Arabidopsis thaliana: one gene and its partner. The protein of the gene in region 2 interacts with the protein of the main gene of each other region in a pairwise test. Each region holds a gene or a part of one and is shown on either strand. Other genes may lie near its edges.

The links.
Region 1: the proteins of CRK10 (region 2) and AT1G08230 interact in a protein complementation assay, tested with the Arabidopsis thaliana proteins (one large-scale study listed by BioGRID).

What each region holds. Positions count from the first base shown.
Region 1 is NC_003070.9:2,583,093-2,588,868, forward strand, and holds AT1G08230 (Transmembrane amino acid transporter family protein), read right to left. Parts: upstream 3,878-5,776; 5' UTR 3,609-3,877; coding exon 3,521-3,608; exon of another isoform or gene 3,428-3,520; coding exon 3,197-3,427; exon of another isoform or gene 1,993-3,196; coding exon 1,708-1,992; intron 1,619-1,707; coding exon 1,488-1,618; intron 1,351-1,487; coding exon 1,111-1,350; intron 1,004-1,110; coding exon 623-1,003; 3' UTR 552-622; downstream 1-551. Other genes in the region: AT1G08220 (ATPase complex subunit), read right to left, coding at 32-196. UniProt on the Arabidopsis thaliana protein: High affinity gamma-aminobutyric acid (GABA) transporter probably involved in GABA uptake into cells.
Region 2 is NC_003075.7:12,136,182-12,141,466, reverse strand, and holds CRK10 (cysteine-rich RLK (RECEPTOR-like protein kinase) 10), read right to left. Parts: upstream 3,473-5,285; 5' UTR 3,297-3,472; coding exon 2,462-3,296; intron 2,342-2,461; coding exon 2,204-2,341; intron 2,121-2,203; coding exon 2,002-2,120; intron 1,909-2,001; coding exon 1,698-1,908; intron 1,606-1,697; coding exon 1,368-1,605; coding exon of another isoform or gene 1,367-1,367; exon of another isoform or gene 1,236-1,366; intron 1,232-1,235; coding exon 1,081-1,231; coding exon of another isoform or gene 1,021-1,080; exon of another isoform or gene 1,005-1,020; coding exon 687-1,004; 3' UTR 545-686; downstream 1-544. Other genes in the region: CRK11 (cysteine-rich RLK (RECEPTOR-like protein kinase) 11), read left to right, coding at 1-270.

The sequences.
Region 1 (5,776 bases), on a different chromosome or scaffold from region 2:
GCGAAATTGATAATTTCTCAGAATTTCCTACCTTATAAAAATCGAGGAAAGAACGGGTGGTTGATCGAAGAGCTGGCATTTGAGAAGGGAGAGAGTCATGATTCTCGTATCGAGTGAGGGAGAAGAGTCCTTGATGATGCTTGTTGAGAGCAGAGACTGATCTATGCTTCAGGATTCGATTCAACGTCGTCGCCATTTTAGTAGAGCTTAAACCCTATTTGTTTGGTTATGTCTCTCTGCCGGCGAACCAAACACGCTTGAAATTGAAAACGAGTCTAAAATCCTGAACCAGATTTTTGTGTGGGTAACCAATCAAACCGATTTTTTAAATCCGGTTTAATTATAGCCCCCAACTTTTGGGCTTCCGTTTCTAGGAATTGTTTTGCGTTGGGTTTCAAATGCTCATATTCCAGGCCTGTACTGTGATTTATCAATTTTCTAGATATTTATTTCATCTGTATTTATTTCATTCAAAATTAATTAATTTAAATTATGTAAAAATATTGTTATCAAAATTTGAATATTATTTTCCAAATTTATAATCATAAACATTTTTCTAAGAAAAAAAAAGGCTTATTCTTAAATATAGAAATAACAATCTCACTTTGCTTTGCATGTTCTTTTATACATCCGCAAACAACTTATACGTATTGGCATCTATTATAATCTGTCTAACCGCCGCTACCATAGCAATCACCCCTAAACACGAAAAAACCACGGCGATCACAGTGTTGATCCAAAAAATGAAACTTTTTTTAGACGGCTTGAAAGTAAAGTTGAAGAAAACTACAGGAAGAACGAAGTCTAGAGGTATAAAACCGAAAGCGCCTAACAAGGAGTTTACATCTCCAAAAAATGGAAGCATTGCCGCAACGATTGTAGCCATCACGACGAAGAGGGAACGCACAACTAGTCGAGGGATGACATTGCGGATAGAGAATTCTTTCTTTGTTGGATCGCTGATCACACTTTCCAAAATATCGTTTATAGGTTGTAGGTATACCTGCATAACTCAAAATTAGTAACAATGTATATATGTGACGAAAATAAAATAAAATAATAACAATGTATATATGTGAAAGAAAAACGTTAAAAAAAAATTGTATTTACCACAGCAACGGCCGAAAGTTGAAGGACAGTGAAGAGATTGACGAGAAAAATAAACCAAGTAGGGACAAAGTAATGGTTTGTCTCGGCATTTAAGAAATTGGTGAAGATAAGTCCATTGGCTTTTTTACCGAATGCCCAATATCCTGTGATGGCTACTGTGAAAAATGTCATTATTACTACAAGGTAACACATACACAACCCTTTCATCATTTTTCCTTTCACTGGTGCCGATATTGTTGCCTGCGTTGCAAGAAGATAGTATTCATATATCAAATACTCTATATATATAACTGAGTCGATCATGTGACTGCCCTTTTGTTTTTGATGAATAAATATTAAAGTGGTGTTCTAAACAAAGAATGGAAACAAAATGAAACCTGAATTTCAGGTATAATGCCATTGCCGTATGTAGTAGCAATAATAGCCATAGCATTAAAGATTCCAAACACTCTAGTTTCTGGATCACCAACTATAGTATAGTCCTTCTCTGGTGCATTTGGTTCTTTTCCTGATATTTAACAGAAAACTCACCTTTTAAATGTAACAATATAAAAGGTTTAAGAATTAAGAGTAAAGTGGTTTAGTAAAGAAGAGTACCAATGTAGATGGATGCAGCAGCGGCAGAAGCACTGTAGAGGAGGCAGAGGAGGAGAGACAGTGAGTTGATGTATCGTAGAGAGTGAAAGGATGGGAATTGTGCCAAAACCAAAAGTAAGCATCCAAAAATAATCACAAACTCAAAGAGTTTCATTTCCCCATTTGGCTGCACTACCAAGTACATTGCCTTTAGGCATTGCCCTCCCAAGAGCGCATTGGCAATAACCACACCATAGCACACCGCCATTTGTATTGGTCCAACGTAGTACCTTCCCCATTTCGGACCTTATCAAACACACCCCAATAATTGTTAAGAGGAAAACCAAACTGATCTTAACTAATCAAACATTCGGAACCTGTATTATACTTTACCTTATCCTAATTAAAGTTGTATACAGTCCCGAAAAAGTGGGCTAAATCGAATTCCTATAAATCCTTCAGATTAGCGGTGTACTCTAATGAAAACTAAAATCCAAATCGATGATTCGATGCATAATGGATTTAGTTTCATATTAGCTACTAAAACAGAATTATCCAGTAAGATAAAAAATTTCAATCAATTTTTTCTCATCATTTTGTAGTTTTTGCATAGATAAATACGTTAAATTTTGTCTTAAAAGTTTTGTTGACATGTGGATTTCCTTGGTAGTCGACAGTCAAAGCGTAACTATCCTAATTTGGATCGAATCCTATGTAGGATCTGAAATTTAGAATATTCTACTTTTGAAAGCAGATCGAACCTATCCAACTTTACTTATATAAGATTAAATTTTGGTCGGCACCAACGTTTTATGAATACTCTTCTGACACGCACATATTTTTAAAAATTGAAATTAGTTTTGAAAGACAAATTTCTGCATCAAAAATGAAACAAGACACGGAAAGAGACAGCTATCTAACGCATGAAAAAGTTGAAACTTAACAGTGGTATGAGTGGAAATGTGGAATGGTCAACACTTCGATCCGGATCCCAACAAAATTGAACCGAAGCAAGCCATATCAAAAAATTCACTATAATATGAATTCCATATGATTAGTTTTTTTTCTTCTTATAATTCGAAACAAGACCAAACAGTATAGAAAAGTATTTTTTTAAAAATCATAGGTTTACACAATACATATATTGTGATATTAACCAACCACGAACAAAAGTTGAGCTCATACCAATGTTTACTTGGTTTCTTATAAAATTCCGTTGTTCGTAATAGCAAACGTGATTATAAGTATTCCATCTCGCGTTTTCACACAAAAATTAACTTTTTTTTTTGTTCAAACAAATTATTACGTAGGACATGTACCTTCCTTTATTGCGTGGATGAAATTATTGGAGTGGTACCGGCCGTGTGTCAATTATTACGTATAGAAGTTCATATAGACACGTATGTCTACGTACAACTATACATCTCAATCTTGAATGAAATTCTCTTAAGGTAAATTTGTCGCAGCTTTGATTATAGGAAAGAGCAAATGTAAAAAGAAAAAGAATTACTGAGGATGTGATGAGCCATGTCACGGAAGCGGAGGTAACGGTTGCCGAGAGAAGCGTGGTGTTCGAGAGTAAGAGAAAGAAGAGTGTACGAGTAGAAAGTAACGGCTGCTCCTCCGACCAGACAAGATATCCCGGCAGCCCATCCTAAGAACTTGAAGGCGTACGGTAGACTCAGTAGCGCAGGCGCCACTATAGACGTCGTCAAGTGGAATCCGCAGTGCCACCATGTCCCTAGTTTCCATCATCATCATCATCATATCTTCTTCAAATGGGTTATAATAGTATACGTTAAGTTTCATAGATTTCATAATTAATAAAACGTACCTTTGGATTTAAGGACGAAGAGAGAACCAGCATCAACTACTTCTTCCCCTCTTTTTTCTCCATCTCCTGATCTCTCTTCTCCACCCATCTCTTTATCGCTCTCTTTGTTTCTCTTTCTCTCTCTCTCCCCCCACTAGGTGCTACTCACTTTTATAAGTCCAAAAAACACACTTGCTATCATATCATCTTTTACCTAAAAGCATTTCGTAATAATATTAAACATTGCAGATTTATAGTTTATCGATTCTCTTCTGTGTCAAACGATTTATGAAGTTATAAAATGTGTATATCTTGATTATTTTCTTTAAAAAATATATGATAGAATATGAAAATAAATGGAGAATTCAAAATATTTTGGAAACAAATCTCTTAAATCTTATTTTTTATATATAATTTCAAAATAATCGATTTTGGAGACAATCTTAAATTTTCAATACATCCAACAAACAGTAATAGAAAAAGCAAATTGGATAATAGTAATAACATATCAATATAACATGTTAATATGTATATTAAATCCTTATTACAGTTTTACATTTTCATTATAACTGACAGAATTTTTAAAATTGAAAGAAATTTCTTTCGGTTAATAATAATAATACTAGATTTTCACCCGCGATATACCGTAGGGACAATTTATATTTTAAAATTAGTATATATAAAAGTTTGTAATTTGTAACAATCTATGTAACTATCTATAAAATATTTTTATTTTATAGTTTAGAATTGTTATTAAGTAACGTCCTGCCAAACTCGTCCTGCCAAACTCGTCCTGCCAAACTCGTCCTGCCAAACTCGTCCCGCCAACCCATCCCGTAAAAAAAGCTCATTTATTTTATTAATGTTGATCTTCTTTATCATATGTTTATGAATCATTGTCTAAATATTTTGTAATTTTGTAGTAATTAAATGTTATCAAATATCTCTGCGGTTTGATGATTATAATTGAATTGTAATAGTCATGAAGAAAAACAATATCAATAATGATAATTTTGTAGTAATTAAATGATATTAAATATTTTGAAAGTTTTATTTTAGTAACCAATCGTGTAGTTAATGTAAAGAGATTTTAAAAAAATTTATTAAATGTCAAATATTTAATTCGAAGATTTTTTTTCTAATTATCAAAAACAAATATTAAAATCCAGTGGCAATCATTGTAAATAATTCTCAACTACAAGATTTATTTCACAAAATAGTTGCAAAAATGTATATATAGACTAGATTTTAACCCGCGGTACACCGCGGAGATAATTTTTTTTATTTAAACTAGTATATATAAAATTTTGCAAATTATCTCTATCTATAAAATATTTTTATTTTATAGTTTACAATTGTTATTAAGTAACGTCCTTCCAAACCCGTTCTGCCAAACCCGTCCTGTAAAAAAAAACCGCGGTACCCCGCTAGTTGAAATTTATAATTAAAATAAATATTTTATGGATTGCGATTGTGTTTTAGTTTGTCAAACAAAATTTTGTTTTAAATAGTTGTCGAAATCTAGTTCAAATTTTGGAGAAATAAGATTTAGTGAATTGATAAGAAATGTATTTAGTTGCGTTTGCTCATTTTAAGGGATTGCAATTGTCTTTTGGGTTGTCAAACATTTTTTGTTTTAAATAGTTGCTGAAATCTAGTTCAAATTTTGGAAAAATCTGCGTGATATATGGGATTGAAATATATTTGGAATGTTTTTCGTTTGTTAATCAATTTATTGCTGAAAAAACTAATAATTAAAAGCCAGTGACAGCCATTGTAAATAAGTTTCAACTCCAGGATTTATTTCACAAAATGGATGCAAAAATATATATATAGATTATATCTATATATATGTATTTTAAAATCTTTCTCACTTTAACCTCAACATCCAAAGTTTATATGTATATATAGTTTATTTGCTCGATATGCAAAAGCGTCTGTAGTCCAACGGTTAGGATAATTGCCTTCCAAGCAATAGACCCGGGTTCGACTCCCGGCAGACGCATTTATATTTTTTAACAATCTTTTCTGAAAATTTGAAAAGACAACATTTTGCATACACCAAACATATGTACATATGTTGTGTTCTTGTTGGACTCGATGGTTTATCAACCCCAGGTCCAATAGGACAACACGAAATTATCATACAAACCACAATGATTGATTGTCCCCAAACCCTTATTTCTGTTACCAACTCCACCATATTGTCACAACTTTTCCCCTGTTATCAAAACTTCCAAATCAATGTTCTATGAATTTTAGTTTAAATTTTTACCA
Region 2 (5,285 bases):
CCATTAGAGCTGGTGGATCCAACTTTTGGAAGGAATTATCAGAGTAATGAAGTCACTAGGTGCATCCATATCGCGCTGTTATGTGTTCAAGAAAATCCAGAAGACCGTCCAATGTTATCAACAATCATCTTAATGCTGACTAGTAACACAATTACTCTACCAGTGCCTCGCCTACCGGGATTTTTCCCACGAAGCAGGCAACTGAAACTGGTATCTGAAGGATCAGAGTCTGATCAGTATACAAGCAAGTCTTCCTCATTTAGTTCGTAAAAATTGATGTGGTTCCTCATCATAGCTTAAAAGTTGTAACAGAAAAATGGTCAGATGACATTTATATTATTTGTCCACGGACATAAGAAACATAGCAGGTTTATCTGTAATTGTATGTTGTACAGTGTCCACTGTAAAATGCTTATGAACAGTTCACAGTTCTTTAAGAATCGTTTCTCGATTACTGGTTTTACTCTCTTCATGCTGAATCAAATTACCTGCTAGATCGTTGTGTAAGCTTAATTTGGAGGGAAAAGTCACTGTTACGTCTTCATGGAGAAACGTGTAAATGGTATATATCTTATACTTGCTTGTGGTTACAATTACAATACAAACATTCTATAACAAAAGAAGTTTTTAACTTATTTTCAACACCAATAGATTCAGGAATCAGGTATGAAGGGAAAAACTCATCATCATCGAGGATGTATATCTGTGATGGATGCATCGTCAACAGACCCTAGAAGAGATTTGCTCGTTGTATCTGTATCAAGCGGGTCTTTTCCAATTCTACTCTGAAAGAAAAGACCGGGTTGCCGTGGCACGGGTAAAGTCACAGTGTTACTAGTGAGCATCAGAACAATGGTTGACAACGTCGGACGCTCAGCAGGATCTTCTTGAACACATAAAAGACCGATATGGACACATCGAACAACTTCATTCCTTTGGCAATTTTCTACAATAGCTGGATCCACGAGTTCTAATGGTCGCCCGTTACTCCAAAGCCCCCAAGCCTAGAATATTATTCAATCAATCAACACTTGCAACTATGTTCAGGTAAATATGGAACTTGATAGGTTTAAAACTTACATATGAGACCAAGTCATGTGCACCATCTGTTTGGTAGAAGCTGCTATTCTTCTTGCCACTTATAATCTCAAGAACTAACACTCCGAAGCTATAGACATCAGATTTCATTGAGTACTGACCATGCATTGCATACTCGGGAGACATGTAACCACTGTAACCCACAACAAAAACTATGTTAACCAAAGGATGTTCAGAAAACTTCAACTTATAAACCCACAACAAAAACTATGTTAACAAAAGAATGTTCAGAAAACTTCAACTTATGAGAAGTTATGAGGAAGACTTACTAGGTACCAACTATTCTGCTTGTGTTCTCTTCGGTTTGGTCCAATCCAAAGATCCTAGCCATTCCAAAATCTGCAATTTTAGGATTCATATCCGCGTCCAAGAGAATGTTACTGGCTTTGAGGTCACGGTGTATGATTGTGAGTCGTGAGTCTTGATGAAGATACAGAATCCCTCGAGCAACTCCACCGATAATCTTGTATCGTCGAGTCCAATCCAGCTGGCCTTTCTTTGCAGGGTCTGTCCACATCCATAAATCACAATGAGATCTCTAAACATTCGTAACCCCAAGTATCAAGAATCATTGAAACAAAGCATTAAATGCAACTAACCAAAGAGGAAGTAATCAAGACTTTTGTTGGGCACATACTCGTAGACCAGTACTCTTTCTTCTCCGTCTAGACAAAACCCAAGAAGTCTAACCAGATTTCTATGTTGTAGCTTTGCAACAAGAACAACCTCGTTCTTGAACTCTACTTCACCTTGTCCTGATGACTTTGATAGTCGCTTCACCGCAACTTCAGTCCCATCCGATAAAGTACCCTGTTGTTTTCATCAGCATCATCCCATTATCCAAAAGTGTTGGCTTAAAATTTCAAGAAAAAAAAAACACAGCTCAAGGGAACTATAATTTACCTTGTAAACCTCACCAAATCCACCTTGACCAATCTTATTACTCTCTACAAAATCATCTGTTGCAGTTTGAATTGTTCTATAATCAAGCTGTAGTGAGTCTGCTGTTGTGATATCATCTCCTGTTACACAATGAAAGTCTTTGAAGCAGGAAAAACAAGCTGAGCATTGACATTAAAGATCGTTTATCACTTGAAATCTTTACCAGCAAATGCAGATGGTGTGTAATAACTCTTCCTTGCCCTTCTTGTAAGGAAACAATAACCAGCTATAAAAAGCAGAACAGCCACTATAATAGGCACAACAATGGCTATCACTAACACCTTTGAATTCCCATCTTTTCCTGCATTTCAAAGATTATTTGCTTAAAAATCAGATAGAAGAAAACTCTCTATATTGGTTTTGCCAATTTCAAGAAATCAGGGCAAAAAAAAAAAACAGAGGAAAAAAACAGAGCTCTGACCAGATCGCGGAGGAGCTGAAACTGGAGGAGTAGAAATTGACGGTGGTGGTGGTGGTGGTGGAACGGCGGATTCGGTGTAAAACGCGTAGATCTCGTATCTTGAAGTACAGCTCGGATTAATAATTCTTGCACCAATTCTGTCAGTAGGTATTTGATTGATGACCAGTTGGAGACAACGCGAACAGTCTTGTCTCGTGAGATCAGGTGTGCACTGAACCAGTCCATAGAAACTCTGCAACGCAGTAAAATTGTTTTTTCTCGTACCGAATTTTTTGGAACTGTTCAAGGCTACGGTGGCGGCTTGGTTCAGAGTAGGCAAAACCAAATCACTTAACAGGTCTAGTTGGTTAGATGTCACATTCCGGGTGTTAACCAAGATAACTCCACCGGTGGTTATTAGTGTCGAGAGAATATTCTGGTTAGAGTATCTAAGTACACACTCATCGTAATAAAGTGTGGCTTCTTTCTGGTTAGGACACCGAGTTAAGGTGTCGTTGACGGCAAAGGAGACGCATCTACGGCAAACTTCCGTTGAGACATCTCCACGGCAGTTGAAAAGTCCGGTGACTCTGTCTGGAGCTTGGCCGACGGTGGCGTTTTGGAATCCGGTGGAGTAGGAAGCGTTGCGGGAAGAAAGAGAAGCCAAAAGGGTCTTGAGATTGTTGTTGTAAGTGCTGTTACTTGTGTAATTTGCCGTATTTTGACAGGTGTGGTATACGTAAGTGGGATCTTGAGCAGAAACTCTGAAACTCGTGAGAAAGGAGAAGAGGAAAAGGAAGAAGAAAGAGGAGTAATAAGACATAATTGGGCTTTCTTGATCTGTGTTTCTTCTCATCAAGCTTTGAGTGATATATGAAACAAATTTGATTGTTTGTTCTCTCTCAGTGACTACCGTAGATAACGTTTTGTGCTGACGAAAAGTCAAGGTCAAGGTCAACGCGTCTCGTATTAAATTGTCGGGTCTTGTCCAACTTCTTGTGTTTAGCTACTAATCCATTACTTATTTTTTTAATATATGAAATATAGAAAAAAATTACGGAAAATATAAAATCATTTTAAAATGAAGAAAATTATCAAAACTGTCAAAATTTAAAACATAATAACTCTAAATTCAAGCTTTGAACTCTAAAGTCTTTTTTTTTTTTGATCAAAAAAAAGGTAGTTGGGATTTTCAAGAGAAAATAAATGTAGCAGTTGGCATGATTTCAAAGATCTTAATTACTAGTAATAGAATTTAGATATACATGAGAGAAACTAGCTAGCAGTAGAATTTGTTTCGTACTTTTCCTTGAACAGAATTGTTGAAATTAGGAATCTTTGTTGACTATTCTTCAAAGAATCATTCTGGGGCTGAAAAAATTGTCGCCACTGATGCGAAGAAATTATTGGTTGATAATAGGTTTTTGTTTTAAGCACGATAATTTATTAATTTGTATATCGTATATGCTAGTATGGTTATTGTGATGTAGTGATACTAAAATAGTATTACCAAATCATCTGCCTATCGTTATCTGATATTGTTAGTTACTAATTATTCTATTACTTTTTATAGTCTTACTCGCGAGAAGTTAAATAACTTGATATTCCACATGACGTCGTTCCATATAATGGTTCCATCATAAGTCCTTTCGTGTTTTCACCCGGATATGAATCTACAGCATATAAGTTTTAATATTTAAAGTTAATATCGGAATATATAAACATGAATTTGCTATATGAATGTGAAATATTTTGACATCATCCGAATACAATGTGTTTTAAAACGAATTTTGCATCCATAAGCTCCATCTAGCTAGTTGCAAAGGTGAGAAATATTTCCTTTTTGGTTCTCAGCTTCTCATGACTATTCCAAAACGAGAAAAAAGGCAATCAAAATTTTTAAAGGCATTCACATATACATAAGGAAAGAGAAAATAAAACCGAGAAGTATTTTATGTTTGATGTATCTCCGATCCTAGTAAAGGCCCAAGATATTGATGCAAGGTATATGAGACCTAGCTCAGCCGTGATTTCTCCGTGAAGAAGACTCAGCTTTGTTAATAATTGAATGAGGCGGTGTATGATGCCAAAACCCTAGTTCGTTCTATTTGATTTTAATGATATTATTCAAAACCCTAGTTTTTAAAAAGTAACTAATTTTTTTTCGTTACTGCCAAGGAAAAACAATCGGCTTTTCATGCAACAAATCTCGTTAAAATTGGTTATGGGCCTGCATGTGAAAATGGAGCCAGAACCAGAAGAGGACTTGGTCAATGCATCGAGAACATTTGCGTAATATTCTTTTTTTTTTCTTTTTTAGTAGTTTTTAATCATCAGCGTAATCTAAGACTCCGACCAAGTCTTACACAAAACAAAAAGAAGAGAAGCTGAGAAATCTGACAAGGAATTAGAAAATGAAAAAGAAAGTTTTTTTCCATTAGTAATAACAGAGGAAAAACTTATGCTTCTGTTGGTTCTCCCTTGCATCTCGCTTTCCTTAGCTCATTTTTACTGTTACGGTGTTACGCACAACTAGAATAATCACTTGGAACACTCAGAATGTTGCAGCGGGCCAGTTCAACGATCAGACGAAGTAAACATCAAGATAGCAAGAGCAACCACTATCGACGACGAATTCAGTTTGTGAGGAAGAGCGTTGGTGTAGCTTGAGACACGTTTCAATCACGTGTAGCTAAAAATATCTAGATAATTGTAATAGAAAATAAATTAAATATTTTATGTATTAATTGGTTTAGTATGAGAAAAGCCAAAACATTGACCAAGTCTAAGATTAAGAAAGCTAGATGAGCAATTCACTATCAAAGACGAGAAGACTGAAGTAAAG